Linked DNA regions of Cricetulus griseus. The protein of the gene in region 1 interacts with the protein of each later gene in a pairwise test. Links are inferred from orthologs where the notes say so. Each region holds a gene or a part of one and is shown on either strand. Other genes may lie near its edges.

Evidence for each region.
Region 2: the proteins of Cep70 (region 1) and Trim29 interact in binary tests that used the Homo sapiens proteins (3 or more experiments, as listed by UniProt). The two-hybrid records come from large-scale screens. The link is inferred for Cricetulus griseus from reciprocal best matches to the Homo sapiens genes CEP70 and TRIM29.
Region 3: the proteins of Cep70 (region 1) and CUNH8orf33 interact in binary tests that used the Homo sapiens proteins (3 or more experiments, as listed by UniProt). The link is inferred for Cricetulus griseus from reciprocal best matches to the Homo sapiens genes CEP70 and C8orf33.
Region 4: the proteins of Cep70 (region 1) and Emd interact in binary tests that used the Homo sapiens proteins (3 or more experiments, as listed by UniProt). The two-hybrid records come from large-scale screens. The link is inferred for Cricetulus griseus from reciprocal best matches to the Homo sapiens genes CEP70 and EMD.
Region 5: the proteins of Cep70 (region 1) and Brms1 interact in binary tests that used the Homo sapiens proteins (3 or more experiments, as listed by UniProt). The two-hybrid records come from large-scale screens. The link is inferred for Cricetulus griseus from reciprocal best matches to the Homo sapiens genes CEP70 and BRMS1.
Region 6: the proteins of Cep70 (region 1) and leukocyte receptor cluster member 1 homolog interact in binary tests that used the Homo sapiens proteins (3 or more experiments, as listed by UniProt). The two-hybrid records come from large-scale screens. The link is inferred for Cricetulus griseus from reciprocal best matches to the Homo sapiens genes CEP70 and LENG1.
Region 7: the proteins of Cep70 (region 1) and bystin interact in binary tests that used the Homo sapiens proteins (3 or more experiments, as listed by UniProt). The link is inferred for Cricetulus griseus from reciprocal best matches to the Homo sapiens genes CEP70 and BYSL.

What each region holds. Positions count from the first base shown.
Region 1 is NC_048597.1:207,716,505-207,720,004, forward strand, and holds part of Cep70 (centrosomal protein of 70 kDa), read left to right. Parts: intron 1-1,239; coding exon 1,240-1,345; intron 1,346-3,500.
Region 2 is NC_048597.1:155,007,956-155,012,254, forward strand, and holds the start of Trim29 (tripartite motif-containing protein 29), read left to right. Parts: upstream 1-1,499; coding exon 1,500-2,303; intron 2,304-4,299.
Region 3 is NC_048595.1:374,229,113-374,233,373, reverse strand, and holds CUNH8orf33 (UPF0488 protein C8orf33 homolog), read right to left. Parts: upstream 2,801-4,261; 5' UTR 2,526-2,800; coding exon 2,520-2,525; intron 2,437-2,519; coding exon 2,146-2,436; intron 1,990-2,145; coding exon 1,905-1,989; intron 1,769-1,904; coding exon 1,622-1,768; coding exon of another isoform or gene 1,599-1,621; exon of another isoform or gene 1,576-1,598; intron 1,194-1,575; coding exon 1,054-1,193; 3' UTR 439-1,053; downstream 1-438.
Region 4 is NC_048604.1:1,456,020-1,458,555, reverse strand, and holds the end of Emd (emerin), read left to right. Parts: intron 1-164; coding exon 165-298; intron 299-1,169; coding exon 1,170-1,216; intron 1,217-1,298; coding exon 1,299-1,629; 3' UTR 1,630-2,036; downstream 2,037-2,536. UniProt on the Homo sapiens protein: Stabilizes and promotes the formation of a nuclear actin cortical network. Stimulates actin polymerization in vitro by binding and stabilizing the pointed end of growing filaments. Inhibits beta-catenin activity by preventing its accumulation in the nucleus.
Region 5 is NC_048596.1:54,243,822-54,247,910, reverse strand, and holds the start of Brms1 (breast cancer metastasis-suppressor 1), read left to right. Parts: upstream 1-1,289; 5' UTR 1,290-1,448; intron 1,449-1,455; exon of another isoform or gene 1,456-1,613; intron 1,614-4,089. Other genes in the region: B4gat1 (beta-1,4-glucuronyltransferase 1), read left to right, coding at 1-23, 241-432. UniProt on the Homo sapiens protein: Transcriptional repressor. Down-regulates transcription activation by NF-kappa-B by promoting the deacetylation of RELA at 'Lys-310'. Promotes HDAC1 binding to promoter regions.
Region 6 is NC_048602.1:21,581,544-21,585,626, reverse strand, and holds the start of leukocyte receptor cluster member 1 homolog, read left to right. Parts: upstream 1-1,283; 5' UTR 1,284-1,352; coding exon 1,353-1,484; intron 1,485-3,327; coding exon 3,328-3,507; intron 3,508-3,988; coding exon 3,989-4,083. Other genes in the region: Tmc4 (transmembrane channel-like protein 4), read left to right, coding at 1-43, 613-691, 807-875.
Region 7 is NW_023276806.1:255,579,836-255,583,964, forward strand, and holds the start of bystin, read left to right. Parts: upstream 1-1,329; 5' UTR 1,330-1,425; coding exon 1,426-1,690; intron 1,691-4,129. Other genes in the region: mediator of RNA polymerase II transcription subunit 20, read right to left, coding at 907-920. UniProt on the Homo sapiens protein: Required for processing of 20S pre-rRNA precursor and biogenesis of 40S ribosomal subunits. May be required for trophinin-dependent regulation of cell adhesion during implantation of human embryos.

The DNA.
Region 1 (3,500 bases):
TGACTTTCTGAGACCTTCTAGGTTGCAGTAAAGGAGTACCCCAAATCCATCCTTTCCCTTGATCTTCTGGATTGAATTTGGGATTGGATTAGAACTGCCTCTTTACCAGTGGGAAGTTGGGGGATACCTTTATTTCCCTGGAAGTGTAAAAGTCATTTCCATCATGGATGTCCTAACGTATCACTTACCTTTCTAGAAGTGTTAGAGTTTATTCTAACAACAGCATGTGAAATCACAAAGTTGGCTTGCTCTCCAAAGGTTTGGACATACCCAACTGGGCTGCCAATAAAGCTCCCCAGGTCTCTTTTTTAGTATAGACAGAGAAAGGAGCCATGCACATAGGTTGTCCCAGACTCCATTCTGGAGATCTGCCTAATTGAAAACATGTCTTGTGGAAGAAAAGGGGGCACATCTGGGGACAGCGTTTCCACACTGGGAAGAGGTCTGCTCTGTCTAAAGGGCTGCAGATTGGGATGGATAGCCAGAAGACTTACAGGGGTGGAAACAGTCATGTTGGGCAGTTCATGAATTTGGGGATTTGGATACTTTGTAGGATTTGAAGACTTGTTCTTGCCTGCTGACTCGTTTTTTTAGATGAGATCATATCACAGCCAAAGTATAGGGGTACATTTTACATACTTGGGCCAATTAAGGGTGATCCTTCAAGTAAAAGGACAAATTGAATATATGGGATAGCAGTCCATTTTCCCTCTTGCTTGCAAAGCAGATTGAGCGGAATGATGGTATTGTAGTTTAAATTGCTCCTAGAGGCCAAGATTTCCAATCACTTAGTGGGCGTTCTGGCCAGCCCTGGATAGGGAGAAAAGAACCTTTTCCTTATGACTCTGAGGGTCCGTCTTACTTAGTTTTCTAAGAAGTAGAGCAGAGGATTTGATGTGATCTTGGTTAGGGTCAAATCCATCTGACCCTGTCTAGTAAATGGAAGCATTCCTTGGAGAGACACCTCTCTCCTTACTCTTCCCTGGGCCCAAAGGGATGCCTCTGATCTGGGAGAGCCCTCGTGTTTAGAGATTACTTCTTACTTGTGATGTATTGGAACTTTTCCAGGGGCCGTATGGTTTACACTTTACATACATACATACATAAAGTTTGCACATGGGTGCACACACACATATAAATAAAAAAAAACAAGGTTTTGGGGGAGGCCAGCTCTGTCATTGACTTAGTTATTTTAATCTTCTAAGAAAACATTTTTATTGACTTTTCCTCCTCCTTTAGATTACAAGCGCTTACTGGTCAAAAAAAGACTGATTACACGGAGAAAAAAGATGAGCCCAGCAAAGACAGCCATCAACAGGTTCTAGTTGACCAGAGATACTTTCAGGTATTGAATAGCTGATGAAAAGACTGGTGTTTGTGAAGATCCTTGGTTTTATGCAGTATAATTTGTTGCCACTTGGTAAGGAATGTTTGTATACAGACAGCTCTAGGTATCTGTGGGGGCTTGGTTCTGGGATACTTGTGGATGCCTAAATCTGCAAAATCCCATATATAATGGCATTGTGTTGTGACTTGAATGGGAAATGCCCCCTATAGGTTCATGTGTTTGAACATGTGATCTCCAGCCATTTAGAAATGTTTGGTGTTTGTTTGTTTAAGACAGGTCTCTCTCTGAAGTTCTGGGCTGTCCTGAAACTTGCTATGTAGACCAGGCTAGCCTCAAATTTATAGAGATCCATCTTCCTCTGCCTCCCAAATGCTGAGATTAAAGTTTTATATATTTTAAATTTAGTTTAGGTGTATTTCTTGTCAGGTTTATTTTCTAGGTATTTAATGACTCTCATTGCTGTTGTGAATAAGATCTAGGCAACTTTATGAGAATTTTATTTTAGCTGTTTCTCTGTGAGTATGTAACTGGGACTCTTTCATTTGCTTGCATGGGCTTAGTATGAGAGCCTGTGTGTGTGGAGACCAGCTCTTATTTCACTCTTACTGTTGGCATCTTACTGCTTTTCATATACTTGGTTTCCTGCTCTACTCTTTGGTTTTCTTTTCTTTTTCTGGCATTTGCTAGATTGACAGATGTTTCTTTGTCCTTTTTAATTTTGTTTTGTTTCTGCCTTAAAAGAAAAGCAGTAATTCATGTCATTCAGAGAGCTCACTGACACTGATAAACTCCCTGTGTTGTTGTTGTTTAAAGCAATCTAAAGGTGATCAGAGAACAGGAAAAGCTAAGATGAATTTAATTAATTAATTAAGCAATGGAATTTTCTTAAAGGCTTTTCCTGTTCTTTTAAAAATTCTTATCTCTGCGGGAATTGCTTTAAGTTACTTTATGGTTTCTACATTGTTACTATATCTTTTACTGCTAATTATCAAAAAGGTAGTTAATTCATACAGGACAATGTAAATTGTCACCTGTAAAAATTCTGATGGAATTAATTCTTCCATTAAAATCATGAGTTTATATATAATTGAAATTAAATATTGAAATATATATTTTTAAATAATTTATTTAACTTTATTTTATGTGCATTGGTATGATGGTGTCAGATCCCCTGGAACAATAGTTAGAGTTACAACTGAAAATTGCTGAAAATTGAACCCAGGTCCTCTGGAAGAGCAACTAGTGTTCTTAACTGCTGAGCCATCTTTCCAGCCCCCTGAAATATATTTTCATGAAAACTAAAAGCCTTCTAAATAACCTCTGAAGTCATATTACCAGGAGACCCATTAGTTGCAGCTTGAAGTATGCACAGGACAGAAATTCAAGATAAAATGCTGATCTCATCGTCACGATTCGTGTGTGTGTGTGTGTGTGTGTGTGTGTGTGTGTGTGTGTGTGTGTACGCTTGTGTGTGTTTGTGCATGCATGGGTTCCTGGTGTACATGTGGAGGTTAGAGAACAACTTGTGGGTGGACCATGTGGGTTCTGGGGACGGAACTCAGCTTGGTGGTAAGCAAGCCATGTCACTGGCCCTCATCTTCATACTTGATGATGATTTCTTAAATAGGATAGACTTCATGTTGATAAATGGGGAATTACTTTTATTATGTGTGTTTTGTTTTTTAAATACCACGCAAGGTGTTAAGAAAGGGCAGAGACAGGGGGCAGGTAATACCTAAACTCAGGCCATCTGACAGACCTGGGACCTCATTAAAACACTTTCTAAAAGGCTCTGAAGTTAATTAAAGAGGTAAAATAAGAGAGAAAACAAACAAGGTTGAAAGAATGATCTATTTTACCTGTCTTTGGGTGGTCCCTATTGTAGTGCTCATCATCACATCTAGAGAGTCAAATAGTATACATAATAAGATATTAAAACTTCAGCTCAGATATCAGTGATATTAAGGAGTTGTCAGTTTTCTTCAGTGTGACAGTGGCACTATATTGTATAGACTATACCAGCTTTTAAGAGATGCATGCTTTACTATTTGAGGGTAAAGAATGATGATAGCTTGATTTAGCTGACCCTGCAGACAGAGTGAGCCAAGCTAGGAAAATGTTAACAGTTACTGGATTTAGGTAGTGATTATGT
Region 2 (4,299 bases), about 53 Mb from region 1:
CAGTACTCTGTGAGGCAGCTGTTTCCAGGTGTCCTGTAAGAACAGAAGGTTCTGGTGCTTGGCTAAGGGCTGGTGGAGGAAGAGAGCTGGCAGTTCTCATGTCTCTAGAGTTATCTAAGTCCCACACTGTACTGCCTCATTTCAGAGGTTATTACATAGGGCCCAGCCCTGAGAAGGTGTGCAGGTTTTTCTGAGTCACACCGCACACCTACTGTAGAGAAGGGTGGGCGAGAGTGAGGTTTTGGCTCTGAGTACCCTCTGCCTGGTTGCCATTGCTCAGATTCCTTTTATTACCAGTCTCTGGCCCAGAGGCCCCGAGCAACTTCTGTCCTCTGAGGCCAGAGTGTGTACTCTCTCAGGGCCATGGGCACAGGAAATCCTCCAGCGGCTATGCTCTAGTGAGATATTTAGGTGTTTCCAAGAAGCAAGAGTAGAAGAGACTGGACAATCTCCAAAGCCCCAGACTCCAGTCCCAGCCCTGTGATGGGCTGAAGCCAGAGTCCTCATAGCATCTGTGCTTCTTCTCTGTTAGAAGGCACAGCTGGGGGCTGTGAGGTGGCTCAGTGGGTGAAGTGTTTGCCCACAAGTAGGAGGACCTGGGTTCAAGCACTAACACCACGCAAAAGCTAGATGTGGTGTCTGTCTGTTGTCCCATTTCCAGGAAGGAGGCAGGCAGATCCAGTGGCCAGCTCCCGGGTTTATTGAGAGGCTCGTCTCAAAAAAAAAAAAAAAAAAAAAAAAAAAAAAAAAAAAAAAAAAAAAAAAAAAAAGGTTTGTGTGTGAGCAATTGAGAAAGATGTTGGAAACACACACACACACACACACACACACACACACACGACATGATTGTGGACGGTAGGGAGGCTTAAATAAACTCAGACATGTAAAGCACCTAAAGACATCAGCTGCAAATTGCTAAGAATCAGTCATGTAGTCCTAACCTCCGAATCAGACCCAATGCACAGCTAGCTCCAGCAGGATGTGTTGTCCCAGGGTGGAGGCTTTCCTTTGATATCCAGCCCGCAAATTACAAGGCGATTTGGCTTGTGTGACCCAATTAAGAGCCTTCTGTCCCATGGACCTCCTTGGACACCTCACCTTCTGCCCCCAGGGGCACTGACCTCCTCAAAGCCTGCCCACCTGTTGAGGACAGAGGCTCTGCCATCCTGCTAGAAGTGCTTAGACAGAAGCAGTCGAACTGGTTGTCAATGGTGGGAAGCAATAAAACTGGGAGAAAAAACACTTCTTTAAAATCCCAGGCTGGGCGTGAATGTGCAGGCGTGGCCCAGGTAATTAGCCTCTTTGCCTCCCCCCCACGCCCCCCCCCCGCCCCGCCTGGGCCCGTTGTGTCAGGTTGCTCCTCCTATGGCTCCTCCTCCTGCCCCACCTTCTCCTCCCCACAGGTGTGTCCCTGGGCTCTGCTTGCTAGTCCCACTCCGTGCCCGAGACACCTACCAAGAGACCCCAACCAGCAGAAACAGGCCAACAAGTGACCTGCCATGGAAGGTGCCGATGCCTCTAGGAGCAATGGGGCCAGCCCGGAAGCCAGGGACACTCGCAGCCCATCGGGTCCCAATGGCAGCCTGGAGAATGGCACTAAAGCAGACAGCAAAGATACCAAGACAACCAACGGGCACAGTGGGGAAGTGACAGAGGGCAAGACCCTGGGCAGTGCCCTGAAGTCAGGGGAGGGGAAGAGTGCCCTGTTTTCCAGCAATGAGTGGCGCAGGCCCATCATCCAGTTTGTGGAGTCTGTGGATGACAAAGGCTCCAACTACTTCAGCATGGACTCTGCGGAAGGCAGGAGGTCTCCTTATGCGGGGCTCCAGCTGGGGGCTTCCAAGAAGCCGCCTGTGACCTTTGCTGAGAAGGGGGAGCTGCGAAAGTCCATCTTCTCTGAGCCCCGCAAACCCACGGTGACCATCGTGGAGCCAGGGGACATCCGCAGGAATAGCTACCCCAGGGCTGACTCTGGCCTCCTGCTGAGGTCGAAGTCTGGCTCTGAGGAGGTGCTGTGCGACTCCTGCATTGGCAACAAGCAGAAGGCGGTCAAGTCCTGTCTGGTGTGCCAGGCTTCCTTCTGTGAGCTTCATCTGAAACCCCACCTGGAGGGCGCTGCCTTCCGTGACCACCAGCTGCTCGAGCCCATCCGGGACTTCGAGGCCCGAAAGTGCCCCTTGCATGGCAAGACTATGGAGCTCTTCTGTCAGACTGACCAGACCTGCATCTGCTACCTCTGCATGTTCCAGGAGCACAAGAACCACAGCACTGTGACCGTGGAGGAGGCCAAGGCTGAGAAGGAGGTGACTTATCAGGACCCCGGCTGCTCCCCGCTTACCCTTCCCCCCCTCCCACCTTGACCCTCAATCCACTGTGCTCCGTTCTTTTAGAAAACAAGTTTTCCCCCTTTGTACCTCCAGCCTGGGGGTCAGAGATCTAACTGCCAAAGATCTTGGGAGAGGGGCATCCTTAAGTGAGGGAATAGAAACTCCAGAAAGGTTAGAAGCTGGACTAAGTTCATGAGATAAATCTAAGTCAGGCCAGAGTGTAAAACTGTATTAAACTCTCTCCTGGGCTCCACTTGCCCCCCCCCCCCGCCCCCTCTATGAATAGAAAACTCTTCCCTACTGAGCAGGATTGGACCCTAGGGAGTAGGTCAAGAATGAGAGACATATTAAGGGGATTTGAGGACTCCTGAAAGACCCTTTTTGCTGGCTCCAGGTTTGCTTTTGCAGTTCAGCAGCTACTTGAATCTGCCCTAACTTGGAAGCCATTTCCTTCAACCCCCCTTCTCCCCCCCCCCAGGCTTTTACACCCCTTACTCTGCTTGTTGTACTTGGTTCTGAAGCCACGCCCTTCACCCCCACTTTGGCATCCCTTACTCTTGCTCAGTTGGGCCCTGTGTGCTTTGTTTGTGTGGCTTCAGCCAACAGGTCTGTGCTTGTGGATGGACAACACAGGAGTGAGAGCATGTGTGGGCGGGTGGATGTAAGCGTGTATTTTATACGCATGCGGATGTCTGCGAATGTGGGTGTCTGCCCATATTTGTGTGGGGGCTATGTAAGTGTGTTTGAGTGAATTCCCCGTGTGTGATGAGGCGGTACTTCCATGGGGAGAGGCAGGGGCAGGTGGAGACTTGTGCATGTGATGCACCTGGGGAAGGTATTCTGGGTTAAGGCCCAGCTGGGGCCACTGGTTTTGTCCCTTGCTGAGCTCACTCAGCTGCATGTGGGGACAAAGCGTCCTGGCAGCCAGTGCAAGGGCTTTACTTTCTCATTAGCTTTTGTACCTCAAATTGCAGAGGGTCTCTCCTTGCCCAGAGCCTTGATTATGTGCTTGTTGGTCACTCTCACTCTGTGTCTCTTGCCCCTACCCTTGGGGCCGCAGGTGCTGAGTCACAGGTAGGGACAGAATCAGACACCCTCTCTTAGAAACATCATTTGGTACTCGAAGGTGTCTTCAGTTTTGCTTGTTCCCTGACTCCAGCATCTCCTGGCTGCAGCCTGGCTCTTAGCTTCTCGATGATAGACAACAGAGGGCAGGAGCATGAAGCCCATTCGTGGAGACAGTGCTTAGAATTCCAAGCAGAATTCTAAGGGCACTGGGAAATGAGGCAGGCTGGCTGTTACGAGGTTGTCAGTCTTTAGCTCCAAGCCAGTGAGTGGCTCATTTCCCTCCATGTGAAACTGAGGGATGGACTACACTGTTTTCACATTTCTCTGTGATGGCCCAGGATTCTTAGAAACATCTCTGAGGACTCTGGGGTAAGAAGGAGACAAAGTGGGCACAGGGAACAAACGTTTCAGGTTCTGCTTCCACTGAGAGCCAGTTAAACACACAGACCTCTTTTTCTATGCAAGCTTCGGCTCCACTGTGAGTGCCTGTAGAAGAATTGGCTCTGGGGGGCAGGAAGGTGTGGGCAGCTTGGCTTGGAGACACTGAGATCTCCAAGTTGCTGTTCTTAGTCAGTGGATGCTGTAGGGCTCAGAGAGTCCTTGCCCTCAAGGGCTTGTGACATAGGCAAGGAAGTAGAGGCTTAGACAGACAAACAAGACAGAACACCCTCCCAGGTATGCAGAAGCATAAACATAAATTTCAGAGGGAGAATAGCAGGCCTAATGGTGCATTCACAGCCTCACAGTCTACTCTTTACTTCACAGACTGGGGCACACACCCAAGGAAAGGAAGGAAGGAAGGAACCTGGCTAATATTATGGCTGGAGAAAAATGTGCCTAGGTTGTCTTGCAATATATGAAGTCACCTTGGAAGGGAATGGGATCCTGGAGTGACTGCTATGGT
Region 3 (4,261 bases), on another chromosome or scaffold:
TGTTGGAAAAAGAGAGAAATCAAGAATGACATAGGTTTCTGGCCTAATAACCAACTAGACAAGGCAGTGAATATCACTGACTAAAAAGGAAAGGGAGACCCAGGGCCTAATTAGGTATTCTGCAACATTCTGAGTTTGAACTGCTCACAGAATATTCATACAGAAAATGTTGAATACAGCTGGACTCCAGATTATATCTAGTCTGGGATTTGACTTTGGGCAACACCAGATTACATTGGTGTGAACACCTGAAAATCTCAACTCAGTATAGCAGAGGGTTCAGTACCCATAAAGAGGCAGTGTGTGGGCTGGCAAAATGGCTTAGTGAGTAAAGGCAACTGCCACCAAATCTAGAGGCTGAGATTAATCCTTGAGAGGTTAAACCTCTGACCTACACACATGTGCCTAGCATGCTCATACACACACATACACACTCACACAAATAAATAAAGGTTTTTTTTTAAAAAAAGACACAAGTCTGCTAAAACACAGTTCAAGTTAAAGCATGCAGCTCAAGAACAAATGATGGCCTGATGGAGGCCACACTGGCTCTCTGAAGATGACAACCTCCTCAGAAAAAGAGACAACATGGACAAAGACCTAAACCCTGACATCAGAGCTGTACCAAGTAAAGGCAGTCCCTGCCCCACCTAACTCCATCCACCATAGACATCACAAGCTTCCATTCATCACCTATTTTTTTAAAAAAATAAAAACATATTTATTAGGTTGATCCTTTCAAAAGTACACAGATTCTTCAGTTCCTTACCACCAACAGTTATTCCCAGAGACTGGAGCACAATTCCTGCAATCCACTCAACACTCAGGCTTAGCACAGAGGAGTTCCCAAAGCACCTCTCTTCTGACAGGAGGAACATTTCCTTGAGAAGTTCAAGGACAGTCTCACCCGGGGCAGCAGTTTCATGTCCACAAACCAATTAGAGACAAAGCAATCCTACTTCTGCCAAAAGAGTTCATAGAAAGACCCCTATATTCAAGACAAATGGTCACACCACCCTGGAGGAGGATGACTAGTCCAGAATGTAGGAGAATCTAAAAGAAATTGAACCGAAATTCTTCATCAGGAAAGTCCACAGTGGCCTTGGTTCTTCCTGTTGGACGAGGCCTACAGACCCTTCCACTCTTCTTTCTGGCAGTCTCTCCTACAAGCTGTACTCGGGCTGAATGGGTAGCTGTAGGAAGGTGGAGCGAAGAGTCAGAACTGAGTAACAGTTAACAATATCCATGCAGTTATGATTGCCCCCACAATGTTCCTATAATGATGATATTGTCATTCCCTGATGAGATTCAGAGACCCAGTAACTAGCTAAACTGTTAAGATCTAAATAACAGATCCAGGATTTGAACCCATGGTACCTGGCTTTGTGGTCAGTGGAGTGAACCAAGGCCTAGACAGGTGAGCTGGGTTTTCCCACCCCAAAAACAGAACAAGGTGAGGACCAGGGTTCTCCTGATTCCAGGAGCCCAGAAAGGTATATACATTCTTCCTGCTTAGGGTTTTCCCTGTGCCCATTTCCTCCAGCACCAACCTTGCTGAGCTGAGCTTCTCCCTACCTCTTTGAAGTACATAAACTGAATCAATCACTTCCCGGTTCCTCACCAGTCCTTAGAGCCCTCAGGGCTTCCTGCCATTCGGCATCCATTTGAGCCCTGTAGTCCCCAAACAAGGATCGCATCAGCTGTCTCTTCCGGGGCAGGGGGGTTTTTTCACTGCGCAAGGTTCGGATTGCCCCAACAGCCTGCTCTTCTGCAGATAAAAATAAGGAGCTGGTAACTTCATACATACTCCCTACAAAAGCAACAATTCCATCCCCTGGCAATACCATCAGGCTACAGCACTATCACCATTTACATTTCCCTAACTATAAAGAAGGGGCTCTCACTCTGCTTCGGGGTGGGTTTCTGCGTCTTGAGTCCCAGCTCTAGCTGTTCCACACACCAGGCCAGCTCCCTCGCCAGTTGCTCCGCCTGGGGTGGAAAGAAGGTCATGGCTGTCATAGGCATCAGGACTCGGCAGACCCCAGCCAGTCCCATCCCTTCAGTGCCTTAATTCCGCACAACTAGACCACACTCTCAGGAGGACTAGCTAGCACCCAGAAAGCTCACAGGGAATCCCACCCTTACCTGGGCTTCAGCACTGGGGGGAGCTTCGTCTAGGACAGGTTTCTCGGAGATCTTTCCGTCTCCATTTGTCCCAGAGACCCTGTTCGGGATTTTCTTCTTCTTTTGCTTCATCGACACAGTGTTGCCTGTGGGATGTGCTCTGGTGGCAGAGTCACAAGCAGGTTGCACTAAACTGACAAGGGGCGGATCTGCGGCACCGCAAGCAGGACGGGGGAGCCGAGGTCTGCGCGCAGCGCGTTGAGTTCTCCGGCTTGAGGCTGCTGGTGCCTCCCGAGCAGGACGCCCTAACGCCTGAAAAACGTGGAACAGGAGGAAATTCACAGGGGCCCCACACCCAGGGCCTCGCCACGCAAACGCCTTCTTCCAAAGCTCACCGCCATGCGCCGTAGCGGTGACCGGAAGTCCTGACTAAAACAGTGAACTCAGTCCTCCGGAAATGCGTCTATGGCCCGGAGTTCCGCAGAAGGCGCCGCGGACCCTGCAGGCGGAGTAGCAGGGGCAAGCGCTCCGGGAGGGGCGGGGAGCACTCCGTGGATCTGGGCCTGCAACTCTGAGAGGATCCGGACAGAAAGAGCGCAGGAACAAACGTGGAGGCTTCGGAGAACCCAGCAGAGTGCATCGCTGAGAAACCAGACGAATGCGCGGCGAGATAGGGATGGAACAACCCTCCCTCCCCGCGGGGCGGGGCAGAAAGCCCAGAGGTGGGGCGGGGCGCACGCGCGCGTGGGTGTACACACATACACACAAAACATAAGTACTAAAAAATAGACATTAAAGGGGGAGGGGCTGGAGTGTTGGCTCAGTGGTTAAAAGCACTTCTTGTTACATAGGACCTGGGTTCCATTCCCAGCACCCACATGGAGGCTTACTACCTCCAAGGGCACCAGGCCCGAATGTGATGCGCTGACGTACATGCACGCAAAACAGTCATATACATAAAATAATAAAAATAAATCCAATAAAACAAAGAAGCTTTGTGTGCAGACTGATTTACAGTACTACAGTAATATGGAGATACTGGAATGCTGAAGGTCTAGTGGCTAATCACCTTATCTTGGACTACTTCTAGAACAGCTACTCCTTGCCCATCTCTGTCAGAACTAACATCTTGCTGTGAATAATAGATAAAAGACCTTTTAGAATCTGTTTACTTAGCAGACCACTAACTTCCACTAACCCCAAAGCTTCAGTAACATCTTGGGCCTATAGAAATGTTTCCCCATCTCATTGTAACTTTCTGGTGTATCCACCAGTGTAAATTTGCCTTGATTTATGACTTTCATTGTTCTGTAAAACTAAAGCCTTGTGAAACCTGTTTCCACCTTAGAACATGGATTTTAGGACAACCTAAACCTGTGTTCCTGGGCCATGGTCACTCAAAATGGCTCCAGAACAAACCTTGTCTTAGTCCCTTTTAGCACTGTGAGCTTATCTTCTACAAGTACCAAATTATTGGTACATTTCTTTTCAAATCTTGAGGAACACCCCATAATTACTGTTGTATGGTATTTTCCTCAGAATCCCTGACGGGATGGAATGAGGAAGTTTGTGAGGTTCTGGAGGAAAACAAAAGGTCTGTGAAAACAGAAAGGTCCTTGCCAGCTGTATAAAAAGGAGTGACAACCCCATGTGAAGAGGGTTCTCAGTCTTTGAAACTGCCTACAGGCTATCCAGAGAGCTCCAGGGCTTCACTTCCCCCAGTAGGATTTTCCAATGGCGCAGTAGTTTTTGAGTCATCCCTGCTCCTTGTAAGTAACCCTTCACTCATACTCCTGTTAGTAACCCCAACAAAAACTCATTAGTTCACCAAGTTGGTGCAGTCGTAACTTCGGTCTGTCATGGATTCCCTTTCTGGGGTGAGTAGCTCTTTGTGTGTGTGTAGAACTGAGGTCATTCTCAGGTATCATTCCTCAGAAGGGATCCACTTCGTTTATGTTTTAATATATAACTATGTCTTAGTTAGGGTTTTTTATTGCTGTGAAGAGACACCATGACCATGGCAACTCTTATAAAGAAAACATTTAATTGAGGTAGCTCGCTTACAGTTCCAGAGGTTCAGTCCATTATCATCATGACAGGGAGCATGGCAGCGTGCAGACAGCTGTGATACTGGAAC
Region 4 (2,536 bases), on another chromosome or scaffold:
ACAGGTGTGGGGTGGGTCCTTTATCAGGGAATTTGGGCACAGGGAAACCTAAGACTTCACCCCAGTTCTCAATGGCTCTAGAGTGGAGAAACTGTCACAGCACACACACAGAATTTGGGGCCATGAGGTCACTTTCTCCTTTACCACTGTTTTTCCTTCCCAAGAATATAATGACGACTACTATGAGGAGAGTTATTTGACCACCAGGACATATGGGGAGCCCGAGTCTGTGGGTATGTCCAAGAGCTTTCGCCAGCCAGGGACCTCACTTGCAGATACCCACACCTTCCATCACCAGGTGAGTTGACTGGCAGCATATCTGGATGTAGTCTGAGAGGATCCTAACTGGGTCTGGATAAGTCCAAGGAGATATTAGGTACAGAGAGTAGTCCTTAGGCGGTCAAATAGGGTTAGGGTCGGCATACAGCTGTTTGGGTCAGAGTTCTACTTTGGGGCCTCCAAAACTGAAGATTTAATTACTTTGCCAGGCAGTGATGGCACATACCTTTAATCCTATCACTGGAGAGTCAGATGTAGTCAGATTTCTATTAACTTGACGCCAGCCTGGTCTACAGAGTGAGTTCTAGGACACCCAGAGCTACAAAGACAAACCCTATCTCAAAAAGAAACAAAACATTAATTATGTTTATGTGTCTGGGATAGTATGCATGAGTGTTGGTGCATTTTTAAAAAGTCTTAAAAAAAAATAAAAACCAGAAACCCAAGATAAAGTTGCATGACATTTTTAAAAGTTCATTTGTCCCATCATCTCTCTTTTCTTAATACAAATTTTATTCTGTAGCTGGAGCTACAGGTGGTTGTAAACTCCCTGGTGGTGAGTGCTGGACACTGAACTCAAGTATCCAGCCGATCAAGTATCCAGTCTACAAACTGTTTTGATCAGAGCACATGTAGCATTCTTTGCACTCTAGTCTGGGATCTAGTTTTAAGCCTTCTGAGAATAAGGGGGAATAAAAGGATGCTGAGACAGAGTTGACAGGTATAGTCACTGAGTAGCAAGGCTCCACAGGTAAAAAGGCCACAGATCAGAATCGTTCTGGAGGGAGGGGGCAATGGTCTGGCTTCTAGGGTATGATTAGAGTAGGCTGGTCAGAGACATTTTTGGGAAACCACCCTTCCCCCAATTCCTAACCCCTGTTGTCTTGCAGGTTCGTGATGATATTTTCTCTTCTTCAGAAGAGGAGGGCAAGGATAGGTGAGTAGTGAACACACATAAGGACAGGGACAGGTTTGGGCCTCAGGCTCTCCTGCCCACTTGTTTCCTTCTTTTGCCACAGGGAACGCCCCATCTATGGCCGAGACAGTGTCTACCAGAGCATTGCACACTACCGTCCCATTTCCAACGTCTCCAGGAGCTCCCTGGGCTTGTCCTATTATCCTACATCCTCCACCTCTTCTGTGTCCTCTTCTTCATCTTCTCCCTCTTCATGGCTTACCCGACGTGCCATCAGGCCAGAAAAGCAGGCTCCTATTGCTGCTCTGGGCCAGGATCGTCAGGTCCCACTCTGGGGCCAGCTATTGCTCTTCCTGGTCTTTGCTGCCTTTCTGCTCTTTGTTTACTACTCCATACAAGCTGAAGAAGGCAACCCTTTCTGGATGGATCCCTGAGAGTATTGGTTTCTGAGCAGCTCTTAACAAGAGTTTTGGCTGATTGCCTTATCAGTGTTTGCTGGGGGTAGGGTGGGTGAGGGCTTTTTATGTGTTCTTTAAGGGGTTCAGGGCCTAGCCTAGGGCAGTGCTTATCTCCCACCTCCTCCTGCCAAGAAGGCAGCAAATGCTGGCCTTCCACAACCCATTGGGCCCATATGTACCTTCCTCTGGAGCCTCCTAGTCCTATTGCTTCTGACCCTTAGGGCTCCAGGAGATAAGACCCCACTTCTTTAGAGGAAAACTTGGTGGAGGTGATGGTAGTTGTCATGCATGCCTGTTTGTTGTCACCCCTTTTTAGGGTGTATTAACCAAAGGCCACCCTGGCTTTGTTTTTGTGGACACAATAAAAAACACATTTATTTTTACTTTGTTGGCTCTTCCTACTGGGGTGGGAGTTGGGCTACTGTGGCACAAGTGCTTAGTCTTGGGTCTCAAAAATCACTGACTTTAACCTTTGGTTCTACATTTTAGTTTGTTCTTGGGGAAGGGATCCAGTGTTACCCAAAGATAAGTCTATGTTTTCGTTGTGGGTTTTATTTCTGGGCTCACTCCCTGAAGCACTTAACAACTACTTACAAAATAACTACCATGTAACCAAATGTGCCCATGGGAAATTCAGGCAAAACTGCATTATGATGATACATGCAGGCACTTTAGCCAGGAGAGGCTCATGCCAATATGTGAAGTTACAAGGTTAGAAAAGAAATGAGGCATCTTGCCAGTGGATTTTTTGCTCAGCTCCTGGGATTGATAGTTATTTGATAGCATGGGGGTAGATAGAAAAACTGCAGGATACTCATCCTAATTCTTTGCCTGTTTATTGTTGCTCAGTTTCCAGGTCTTCTGTCCTGGATACATATTACAT
Region 5 (4,089 bases), on another chromosome or scaffold:
ATGGCTTCAATCGAATCAGCCAGGTGCCTAAAAGGGACGGGGCAGGTGGGACTGGGACTCAGGTGTTTCCGGGATGGAGTGGACATTGACAGAAAGGAGGCCATGAAGCAAGAGGAGAGTGGTTGGACGGATGGTATAGAATTCCCAAGAGGGGGGTGGAGTGAAGCTTTAGGGGTGACTATTTGGGTCCTGGGGATGTCATTAAAGTATTGTTCTCTCTGCCCCCCCTTCTCTCTCCAGGCCTGTGAGCTGCACGTAGCAGGATTTAATTTTGAGGTGCTGAACGAAGGTTTTCTGGTTCATAAGGGCTTCAAAGAAGCATTGAAGTTCCATCCCCAAAAGGAGGCAGAAAACCAACGCAATAAGATCCTTTACCGCCAGTTCAAACAGGAGTTGAAGGCTAAGTACCCCAACTCTCCCCATCGATGCTGAATCCTTTCTTCCCCTGGTCTGAGAATTTCCAGCATCTGGCTCCTCAGGCCTGACTGGGGTAAGACACATCCCTCCACTCTACAGAGGTAGCTGTGGTTTTGGAACACTGGACTTGACTATGGGGTGCTGGGATCAAGTCCTAGCTTTACCACTAACTAGCTGTGTGGCCTTGAACAAATCCTTTTACCTCTCTGAGCCTCCAATACCCCGTCTGTAAAAAGGGAGGTGAAAATACCTACCTCACAGAACTGTTGGCTCAGATGAGGTGCTGTATGTGAAAACATCCTGTAAACTTCGTACAAATGTTAAGTATTATTAATATTATTACAGTGCTATTATTGTTAGTATTATATTGTTATTATTAACAATGTTGGGTGGATAACCGCAGAGCAAGAAGTATGAATGGAATAAATCTGAGAATCCTGAGTACTTAATAAAATGAGCCTTTTGGAAAGAAAGATGAAAACATAGAATGTAGTGCTCAATCTGGGGTAAAACTTAAGCTTCCTGGTTCTCTCACACCTTGGCCCTCCAAGCTCCCTGAAGGAGCGAGGGTCTGTAGGCCCTGGGGGTTAAACTCCCAGCTCTGTGCCCTTCACTAGGTTGGGCTGCGCGTTTGCCTTCAGATGAGTGTGTAAATAAACGAGTGTTCAGACCCTCAGCTGGCTCTGTGACTCTCCTGAGCTCTGAGGGGTTGTGGTGGGAGCATCGTGTTATCTGGTGGACTCAAGGGCACAGACCACAATGCTGGGGCAGGCTGGGAGGCCGGGGAGACGGTGGGCCGGTTGCTATGGGGACCCGCCCGCGGTATCCCGGCATGCCTGAGCACCGGTGGGTCGATTGTAAACTTCGCGGCGGGCGCCCTTTGATGACGCACACGGAAGCGTCGGCCCCTCCTGGAGAAAGAGGGACCTTCGCAGCTCATTCCCAGAGGCCAACGGCGGTGGCGTTTACAGCCTGGGTCCGACAGCTCTCGTAGAGTCTCGGGCGTGAGGCCGGAGGCCCCAGTCCCTACGGTGCGTATGGTCACGCCTGGCGCTGGATTGGGCTTCCCGGGTCGGAGCCAAAGCAGAGACTTAACCGGTTCGGCTCTAGTGCTGGCCTTAGACGAGCCCGCGGTTCCCTGGCCAGCTCGGTGAATCGGAGGGTGGATCGCGGCTGGATGCTCCCGGAGCGCCGCAGTGAGTTTGTTCTCCGCGTCTGTAGGGAGGGGTATCCCTTCCCTGGAGGCTTGCTCCGGAGGTGCTCAGACCTCTGCAAAGAGAAACTGCACGTACACTGCGCCTTACAGCGCGCCTCTTCCACTTCTTACAGCCGTCAGCAGTGGCATATCCCCTGTTTGTTGTACCTGGGTGAAAAAGAGACGGTTGTGACTTCATTTAACGAAGTCAGGATCGGAGTCAGCTGGAGGAAGGAGGTCTTTAAGACTTCGTGCTGCGTCTTAGAAAGTACATATACATAACGGTGAAAAGGAATTGCCCGCGCGGGCACCTGAGCCCTGAGAAGGGGAACAGTCATGCAGTTTTGGGTACCTAGGTTTTCAGAGCAGGAGGAAATGCTACTAAACTTTCCTGCAGGTCCATCACTATAATTAGTTGAATGGGTGGCCACCAATGTAAGTAGTGTTACTGAGAAGAGAAGCAAAAGCCAATTCCTGCACTGCAAAGGTTTTTTTTTTTTGTTGTTGTTGTTGTTTACTTTGTGTTTAGACATCTCCAGTCATACAGTGAGCGGGTGTTGTGCTGGGTGAATAAGACAGTTGTGCAGCCCCTGTCCTGGTGAGACTCCCACATTCACTGGGTGGATGGACATGAAAATGAGAGAATAGGAGATGGAAATTATGAAAGCTTGGGGGGTGTCTACCCCACTATAGCTGGAGATGTAGGAGTAACAGCAGCGTGAAATAGAAGCCCCCACTGGCAGAGAGAGTATTTGCATCCGGAATGGCTTATTTTCTCAGATGATCAATCTATTTCTGCAGAGGTTCTCCCCTACCTCTTTGGTTGACCTTGGGAGTTCCATCACAAACCCCTTCTCACATTTTCTGCCTGACCAGTCACTACATGAATCCTCAACAACCTGCCATATGTAGATAACCGAGTTCCTGAAACCTGGGTCTAGTGGGAGCTTACATGCCCACGTCATTGGTCCCTTTTCCCATTTCTAGATCTTTGCACTTGCCAGAAATGATCCCTCTTTTGTCTGCCAAGTTCTCACCTAGTCTATCTTCCTCTGGAAGCTGTTAGTTCTGCAGCAAGATCTTGTCTAGACACCTTTCCCATAACACCCTAGTTTTGACTCTCTTCACACTTTATAAAGGTCTGTTTCTTTGCCTTCTCTCCCAGGAACTTGTCATTTCCTTGAGGCCAAAGACTGTCTGTCACAACTATACTCTAGCTTCTACCACAGTGACTGTTGGTACCTGGCGTATATTAGGTGCTTAGTAAATATTAGATAAGTAGGGGGTGTGTGAAGGGAAGGCTTAGCAGTGTTTAATGTTTTTGAAAGGCCATCTAAGGTAAGCACTGAAAAATGCTGGTGGCATTTGCTACAAGGAAGTTGCTGTGTAATTCTGCTAGAGTGGCTTCAGTGTGAGTACTGGGTACCCAGTGAAAGAGTAGGAGATAAAAGTCACAACAGCAAGTATAAACAAGGCCTGGAGAACTATAGAAGTTAAGTAAACTGGGCCAGGTTTTGTATGCATTCATTCATTTACCGACTTACTTATTTGGGGTTTTTGACATAGCCTCACCAACTATTGCCAGCCTGAAACTCACTGTATACCAGGCTGGGCATGAATTTTTAGTAATCCTCCTGCCTCTGCCTCCTGAGTGCTACGGTAACAGACCTGTACCACCACACCTGGCTTTATTTTTTTAATTGTATTTGTTTTCCACAGGGCAGAGGATCTAGTCCAGCTGTTTCTGCAAGCAGCAACTCTATCACTGAACATTTGTTTTTGTTTTAAGACAGAGTGTCACTATCTATCCCAGGATGGCCTGGAACTTGCAGACCTCCTGCATCAGCCTGTATCATATCAGGCTCTCTCTTTTTTATTTTTCCCTTTCTAGTACTGGGAATTGAGCCCAAAACCTCGTACATGCTAGCAACCTGCTCATACTTCTCTCCTTTTTTCTGGGTTTTTGTTTTGTTTTGTGGTTTTTGTTTTGTTTTGTTTTGTTTTGTTTTGTTTTTCTCCCAAGACAGGGTTTCTCTGGGTAGTCTTGGCTGTCCTGGAACTCATCTGTAGACCAGGCTGGCCTTGAACTCACAGAGATCTATCTGCCTCTGCCTCCTGAGTACCGGGATTAAAGGTGTGTGGACCACCACCCAGCTCTGTTTTTTCTTAATGGTAGGAAAAACCTGAGCACATCTGAACTTCCACATAGGAAGGTGCTTTCTGTCTAAGTCCTTAAGGAATCCTGGGGGTTTGGGGTAGAGTTAGGGCTCCACATTTACGAGAACCCAAGTTCAATCCCCTGTCTTTTACCAAAACAAAATCCTGAGACTGGGTCATTTATACAGAACAAGCTGAGTTGTGGTGAGGGCCTGTAACCCTGTGATATCAGCAGTTTGGGAAGGTGAGGTGTGAGGGGTTACTAGTGGTTTGAGGCCAGCTTAGGCAACTTAGGGGGACTGATTCTCAAGAAAGGCTGG
Region 6 (4,083 bases), on another chromosome or scaffold:
TGGGGACGCAGGCTTTTGCTGTACCCCTTCTGATCCTCTCTTGGTAAGTGGTTCCAGACTTTATGGTCGGAGTTTGGATATGTGTGGTTTAGTGTTGGGGGGTTGGGGGCTGCTAGAGAGGAGGGCTGCTGCCTGGGTACCTATGGCATGGAAGACAACTGGGGTCTCCCTAGATCTGGTTTGGGGTCTGGATTCCCGGGTCTAAGGAAAAGAAGTCTGGGTTTGAACACTGGGTCTAAAGGAGGTCTGCAGTCTAGACCCCTGGTCAGAGGGAGGAGGGCAGAGGTATGGACTCCTCCTGGTCTGAAGCAGAAGCCAGTGGCCCTTGGGGGTCCTGATCCTGGTTTCTTTTTTGGGGGGGGGTTCGAGACAGGGTTTCTCTGTGGCTTTGGAGATTGTCCTGGCACTCCCTCTTGTAGACCAGGGTGGTCTCGAACTCACAGAGATCCGCCTGCCTCTGCCTCCCTTAGGGCTGGGATTAAAGGTGTGTGCCACCAGCACCGGGCGTGATCCTGGTTTCTAAGGAGCCATATGATGAAGGGGTGTGTGTGTGTGTGTGTGTGTGTATTTATTTTATTTTTCTGAAGTAACTTTCATCCCTGTCTTCCTTAGCATCCTGATGGTGTTTACAATAGCCCTGGCTAACTCTTACGGACGCCTCATTTCCGAGCTCAAACGCCAGATAGAGACGGTGAGCCATGGTGCTTCCCCGGCCAGGGCCCCCTGGGAACCTGGGAAGGACTCGGGTGTAGGGTGTAGAGTAGGCCTGCCTCACTTCCACCCCCTTTCTTTTTTCTTGCCCTCAGGAAGCGAAGAATAAAGTCTTCCTAGCCCAGCGAGCTGTGGCTCTGAGCTCAGCGAACGGAGCCATCTGACCACCCGAGACCCGTGGTTACACCTCCCTATCTGGTACCCTGTGGTCTCTGGATCGAGTCCTCCGCACCCCACCCCACCCCACCCACCCCAGTGCCACACTCTCAGTTGCACCGTTATTAATAAACAACAGCTTTGCATTTTGAAGCCGGGTCCTGAAGCTGGGGACAGGGTTTAGGGAGGGGCCTGATCCGGGTCCCGGGTTGTGTCTGCGAGCAGAGGGCTAGACAAGGCGGGGCAGCATCAGCCCTACACGGCGGCGTCCGGGGTGGAGCGACCCGGGGGTGGCAAACGTTTGGGATTGGCTGTGATGGAGGGCCTCTTAGCCAATCACCCCTGGATAGGGTCATAAGTGGGCGTGGCGTCTGGCCGGGAACCAATGCACAGGCGAGGGTGGGGCCACGGGGCGGGGGCACCCTCGCGCCAATCGGAAGTGTGGGAGTCGGGGGCCCGCTGGCTCGGAGGTCGGCGGGGGGACCATGAATATCTTGCCCAAGAAGAGCTGGCACGTCCGAAACAAGGACAACGTCGCCCGCGTGCGGCGCGATGAGGCCCGGGCGCGGGAGGAGGAGAAGGAGCGTGAGCGGAGGGTGCTGCTCGCCCAGCAGGAGGTGAGCCTGGGCTGGCCCGGAAGCGAGGCGGGCCTCGCTGGGTCGGTGGGTGACTCGGTGGCAGCCGCGGGTCTGTGCTTGCTGACGCTTCTCCGCAAATCCTTTGCTGACTTGCGCGAAACCGTCCTGGATCCCCTTCCCCCCCCCCCCCTGGTGTGGCTGAAGTGACCGCAGGCTAGCACGTCGGAGTGGGACGGCTGCCCCGATCACTTTGGAGATCGTCCGCACAAGTTAATTACTGAGCACCCACTGTATGCGTGCCCCCCCTCCTGCAGAGCGCTAGACTTGACACGACCCTCTTAGAGCGACTTGGAGTTGCAAAGGCTTCAACGAGGAGGGCAAAGGGCGGGCAAGCCGGAGTGCACTCCGTTAGACCTCTTCTTTCTCCACCATTGCTCCCCCAAACACACCCAGAGGCTGGCTTGCTCTCTCTCTCTCTTTTTTTTCTTCTTTCTTTCGGTTTTTTGTTTGTTTGTTTTTATTTTTCGACACAGGGGTTTCTCTGTATTGCTTTGGAGGCTGTCCTGGCACTCACTCTGGAGACAGGGCTCGAACTCACAGAGATCCCCCTGCCCCTGCCTCTGCCTCCCGAGTGCTGGGATTAAAGGCGTGCGCCACCAAAGAGGCTTTCTTTGAAACAGGGTCTATGTAGCCCGGGCTGCCCTGGAACTGGCTATGTAGACCAGGTTGGTCTCGAGCTCTGAGATCTCTTGCCTCTGCCTCCTGAATGTGGGATTGAAGACCACGCATGCATGCACAGGCGTTAGTAATTACTCAATCATGTTAGTTTACAATTAAGTCCCTTGGCCAATCTGATCATGAAGTAGTGTGGGTATTTAAAATTTCGGAAGTAGCCGGGCGTTGGTGGCAATGCAGAACCTACCTGGGATGGGAGTGACACGGGCCATCACTAATGTGTTTGGGATGCTGACCTGGAGCCACACCTGGGGTTCAGATCTTTTGTCCAGAAACTGTGTTTGGCTTCCTAATAAGCTGTATTTGGGAGTTTGTACATGTGTGTGCTGGGCATACACTAAGCAGGGGCTCTATGGGTGAACAAGCCACCTCTATACCTTATAGCTGAGTAGTTTTTGTTTTTTTAGATTTTATTTATTATGTATACAGTCTTCTGCCCACATGCCAGCAGAGGGCACCAGATCTCATTCAAGGTGGTTGTCAGGAATTGAACTCAGGTCCTCTGGAAGAACAGTCAGTGCTCTTCACCGCTGAGCCATCTCTCCAGCCCCTAGCTGAGTGGTTTTTGATAGCTGTTTTTCTTGCATGACTCCAGGCTGTGGAAACCCTTCTGTTTTAGGCTGGGATCTCCCCAAATATCCCTGGTAATCCAGTTAACTGTTTAAAAACAACCATTCTCGTCGGGTGGTGGTGTCGCATGCCTTGAATCCCAGCACTTGGGAGGTAGAGGCAGGCAGATTCTCTGTGAGTTGGAGGCCAGCCTGGTCTACAGACTGAGTTCCAGGACAGCCAGGACTGTTTTACAGAGAAACCTTATCTCAAAAGCCAAACCAAACAAAAACCCCATTCTCCACTTCAAATTAGAAATGGTGTCTTTTCTGGCTCCCAGTACCTCTACCCCCGCCCCCCCCACACAATTTTTTTTTTTTTTTAAACCTTTTTCCAGATAGCTTCTCTCTATGTAGCCTTGCCTGCCCTGGACTCTGTAGACAGGCTGGCCTCGAACCCACAGAAATCCACCTGCCTCTTTCTTCCTCCTGAGTGCTGGGATTAGAGGCGTGTGTCACCACCAGCCGGCTCATGGCCCTTCCTTGGAGCCCCCAGCACTTCTACGTTCTGAATGTCCTGCCTATAACTTTCTTCACAGGCCCGAACAGAATTCCTACGGAAGAAAGCCAGGCACCAGAACTCACGCCCTGAGCTGGAAGCAGCAGAGGCAGGCGCTCCAAGTTCTGGCCCTGTGGACCTGTTTAGGGAGCTGCTGGAAGAAGGGAAAGGAGTGCCCAGAGGCAATAAAGAGCATGAAGAAGAGAAGCGACAGGAGAAGGTAAGCTGCTGGCCTCTGTTGGCTGATTTCGGTGGGGTGGGGTGGGGCGCTACCAGCTGTGACTAACAGCTGTTTCTTATGTTAACCTTAGCTAGTTTATTTTGAGATGACACCTCAACTACACAGACAGGCTGTCCTCCAGCTCACAACCCCCTCCGGCGCTGGCCTCCTGAATGCTAGTCGTCAGCATCTGTCGCCAGATGGCGCTTGTGCTTCTCACATTGTGAACTGTACTGTGGCTCTCCTGCATCCCACTGAAACCACTCCTCTGCTTTGCTGCAGTTTTTCCTTAGACGCCCCCTGCAGATTAGCCATCAGCACTTTTGCGTAGCTGGCCCCTGGTCTGTGATTTCCCTTGTTGAATACCCACCAGCCCCTGCCTCACTGGGAACTCAGGCCCTGGGTTTCCCTACTGCCACATGCCATATCTAGGGCTCCCAGAGGGACTTGGGAAGACTATTTTGTTTTCTTGCCCCCACAGGAGAGGCAAGAGAAAGCACTAGGCATCCTGACGTATTTGGGCCAGAGCGCAGCAGAGGCTCAAACGCAACCTCCTTGGTACCAGCTCCCCCCAAG
Region 7 (4,129 bases), on another chromosome or scaffold:
CAGGAGTCAGAGGCAGGTGATCGACAGCCCATAAAAACATATACAGAAATGTTTTATAGGGCCCAGTGACTCTGCTGTGATTTCTATTTTCACTGCTGACAGGTACTTTTTACGGTGTGATGAGGTTGAGATAAGGCTCCTGGTGTCAACTAATTTGCACGTATAGTAGTCACTAAAAACCCTGCAAGAGCCTGGGTTTCCTGAAGAACATCCCACACACACATTATACAGAACAGCTGGGAAGACACACACCACTACCAAGATTTTTTTTAACGTGCTGAAGCCTAGTACTTTGGAATTAATGCCCTGAAGAAAAGCACGGTGTCCAGACATTACCAATCACCTCTCTTTTTCCAAGTGAGATTTAAAACACGTTTCAGATAAAAAACAAAAAAAAACCCAAACCTGACTCAAACATGTAGGAAGTGATTCTTGGATAGTTAATGTGCCTGGAACCCCGACCTCCAAACCTCCAACAGCTCCTTTTCCTCTCCCTCTGACATTAGACCAAATTAAAGCCAGGCTATTATTACTGCAAGCAAAATGTAAAAGTCACTTTCTCCTAGAGCGCCCCCCTCTTTTTTATCGCTGCCTGCAAATAATTCTTAGTGCGAAAGCCTATTCCCAACTTTTAGGTCCTATTGGCGACAATACTATGGCCTGACGGACATGAAGAAGTACCAAGAAAAAGAAGGTACGACTCCTGACAGGTTCCTGGAATGAAGAGTTGGCTTTGCCAAAAGGATGCGCCTGGGAAGGAAGAAGCACCACACGGCGTCCCTTGCTGCAACACGACCCGAGGACATCTTTGTCAGCCCGCGAGGAACCGAGAGCTTCCGTCCCGATCCCCCTCCTGGGGCCTTCACGACCCCAAGCTCCGTCCCACAAGAGCCCCTGCAGTCCTACCAAGTCACTCCCATGGCGCAGGGTCAAAGGGGTGGCACTGCCAAACACTCGAAGTCAAGGGATCCAGAGGCCCCTGGAGGTAGAGCCGCCTAAAGCAGGATGCAGGCTCCGGAAATACGCAAAATCTGAGCGCCAGAGCGGTACACCCACAGAAGGGAGGCGTGCCCGGGCGCTCCAGCGATGAACGAATTCCGTCATCAGCCCGGCTCCGCCCCCAGGGCGCGCTTTGCTTTGACAGGACCTCTCAGGCTACATTCATGAATTCTGTCTGGAAAAGGTGACTTGGGACATCCACCCACTTCCGTACAATGAGATTACCTGAGAATCTGGGGAGTCCAGCTCCCGCCCCGGAGCTCCTGGAGAGATGGCGGTATATGAGGCACTTCCGGCCTCCGAACGCTGGGGGGCGCTGTGAACTCTCGGTGACCTCCCGAGCACCGGAACACAGGGCGCAGACACAGTCCTAGTTTTAAACCGGCTTCCCACGTGTGAGTAGCATCGGCAAGTTTTTCGAGAAAAATGCCCAAATTGAAGGTGGCCCGCGGGGCCCGGAATCAGGAGAAGCATGCACCTCTGGCCGAGCAGATTCTGGCTGGGAATGCAGTGCGCGCGGGGACCCGAGACAAGCGGCGGGGACGCGGGGTTGAAGAGGAGGAAGAGTATGTTGGACCCCGGCTGAGCAGACGCATTTTGCAGCAAGCCAGGCAACAGCAGGAGGAGCTCGAGACTGAACACGGGACTGCAGACCAGCCTGCAAAGCCACGGGAACGCGCCACGCGGCTGGGTGAGTGACACGGGCTGGAGTGGTGGCATGGGCCGGACTAGCTCAGTCCATCCGGATACGGGTTTGGAATTACAAAGAGGAGGCAGTTTTTCCTTCCCGCGTGGTCCTTCACTTCAACGCGTACCTTCTGGAACCTACCTCAGAGTTCCAACAGGAAGTAATCACTCACACCAAGTTCCAGTATTTATTCTCTGGGCTTGTGAAGTATGACTGTGTTTCCTGTGCAATGCTTTGAACTGTGTTAAGAGTTCAGGCAGTTCTAAGCCGGGCGGTGGTGGCACACACATTTAGTCCCAGCACTCGGGAGGCAGAGGCAGGCTGATCTCTGTGAGTTCGATCCACAGAGAAACACTGTCTTGAAACCCCCCCCCCCAATAAAAAAGAGTTTAGGCAGTTCTGATACCGAAATAAACAATGTACTCGTCCTTGCTTTTAGCACCGGAAGTCTACCCCAAGGCAGAGAATATTAAATAGAGTAACATATTCCAGCAATGAGCAGCGGTGCTCGCCTGTAATCCCAGCAGGTGAGAAGCTGAGGCAGAAGAAGGCCCTCGTGGACTACATAGTAAGGTCCAGATCAGCCTGATATACATGGTATACCTCTATCGATCGAGACAGTAAAAGAAAATGAATATATTCCTATTCAAAACAACAACAACAAACCCGCCATTAATTCAACAGGCCAGGCACCCCAGTTTTGTGCCCTGCCGACTAAGATATAAAAAACATGGGAAATGTTCCATTAACCGAGGCAGGAAAACAGTTTAGAATCGAGTGGGGGTGGGCGGCAGAGATGAGTGGGAAAGTACCTGATACTTGTCTCATTGGGAAGGTTGACCTCCAGTTTCTTAGTCTTGCCTTCTTATTCTAAAAGCAGTATTGAGATGATTGAATATGGCTTTAGGGCCATAGTAGCTTTACTTCCTTGTTTTGAGGTAGGGTCTCATTCCCAGGATGGCCTCAAACTCTGTATGTAGGTGAGGATGACCTTGAACTACTGATTTTTGCCTCTGTTTTTCCAACTGATGGCAATATAGATATTTGACACCACACCTGCCCTTAAATTTTTGTTTTTAAATTACGATACTGTGTCTCCTTAAGTTACTCATGCGGGACTTGAACTTGCTCTGTGACCAGAGCAGGCCTGAGTTTTAGGTTTTCCTGTGTTGCTGTCTGCAGATTCCGGTTTGAAACCATGCATTTGATGACTACTCCCAGCTTTTTCTCTCAGACATAGTTCTTTCAGTAAACTAACATCCCTATATCCACCTGTCTACCTGACATCTCACTGCTTGCTCCATGGAGTCTCTTAGCACATTAGCCTCCCCTTGCTCAAGGCTCCTCTTTCTCATTCTACATCAGGTTTGTCAGTAAACCCTGATGATTTGTGTCTTCAGGATATATCCACTTCCTTAGCTTGGAACATCCTCCTGTTTGAGTTCCCTTGAATCACTGTGGGAGCATCATCATTTACTGTTCTCTAACGTCTGTAATCCATTCGTCAGCTAGTGATCAGTGACAACCTGTTGGGTCCACCTCTGCTGACCAGATGCTAGGGAGGTGATGAGAAAATTCAGTTGGTGAAATACATGCTTTGGAAGCAAGAGCCCCTGACCTCAATACACAGCAGCTCGTAATCCCAGAACTAGGGGGTTGAAGACAGATTTCCTGGTCTACATAGTGAGCTCCAATCAGCCAGAGCTACACAGAGAAACCCTGTCTCGAAAAACAAACCAAAAAAAGGCACTTATTTTTTCAGAAAGACGAGAGTTTGGTTCCAAGTATTCACATGCCAGACCACTGCTATCTATAACTCCAATTCCAAGGGCTCATATGCCCTCTTCTGACCTCTTTGGGCACCAGGGACATTTATGACTCACAGGCATACACATAAAATAGTGTATATAAGTCTAAAACAAAATTAAAAAAAAAAACCAACAAAACATGGGTCTCGCTGGACATGCTCTGCGTACTCTCCTGAGCTATGTGTACCCTTAGTCCAATTCTGTTGCAAATGACCTGTTGTTATATAATATTTCAACTCCTTTGGTTTGTTAGACTCTTCCAGGGTCTTTGCCAGCTATGTGTGGTGTTTCAAAAGTCAGCCAGGTGTATTGGCACGTGACTTTAAATCTGAGCACTAAGGAAGCAGAGGCAGACAGATTTCTGTGAGCTTGAGCAAGTTCCATACCAGCCAAGGTTACATGGTCAGACCCTTGTCTCTCAAAAACAACAACAAAAACAAACAAACCAAGAGTTCAGTGTTAGAATTACAAACATGGACCACACTGTCTAACACTTGGGAGGTAGAGACAGAAGAACAGCCTCAGGGCAACACATAGACTAATAGAAATGGGTTAATTTCAATTAAAAAGCTAAGCAGAAACAAGCCTAAAGCTAAGGCCAAACATTCATAATTAGTAGTAAGACTATGTCATG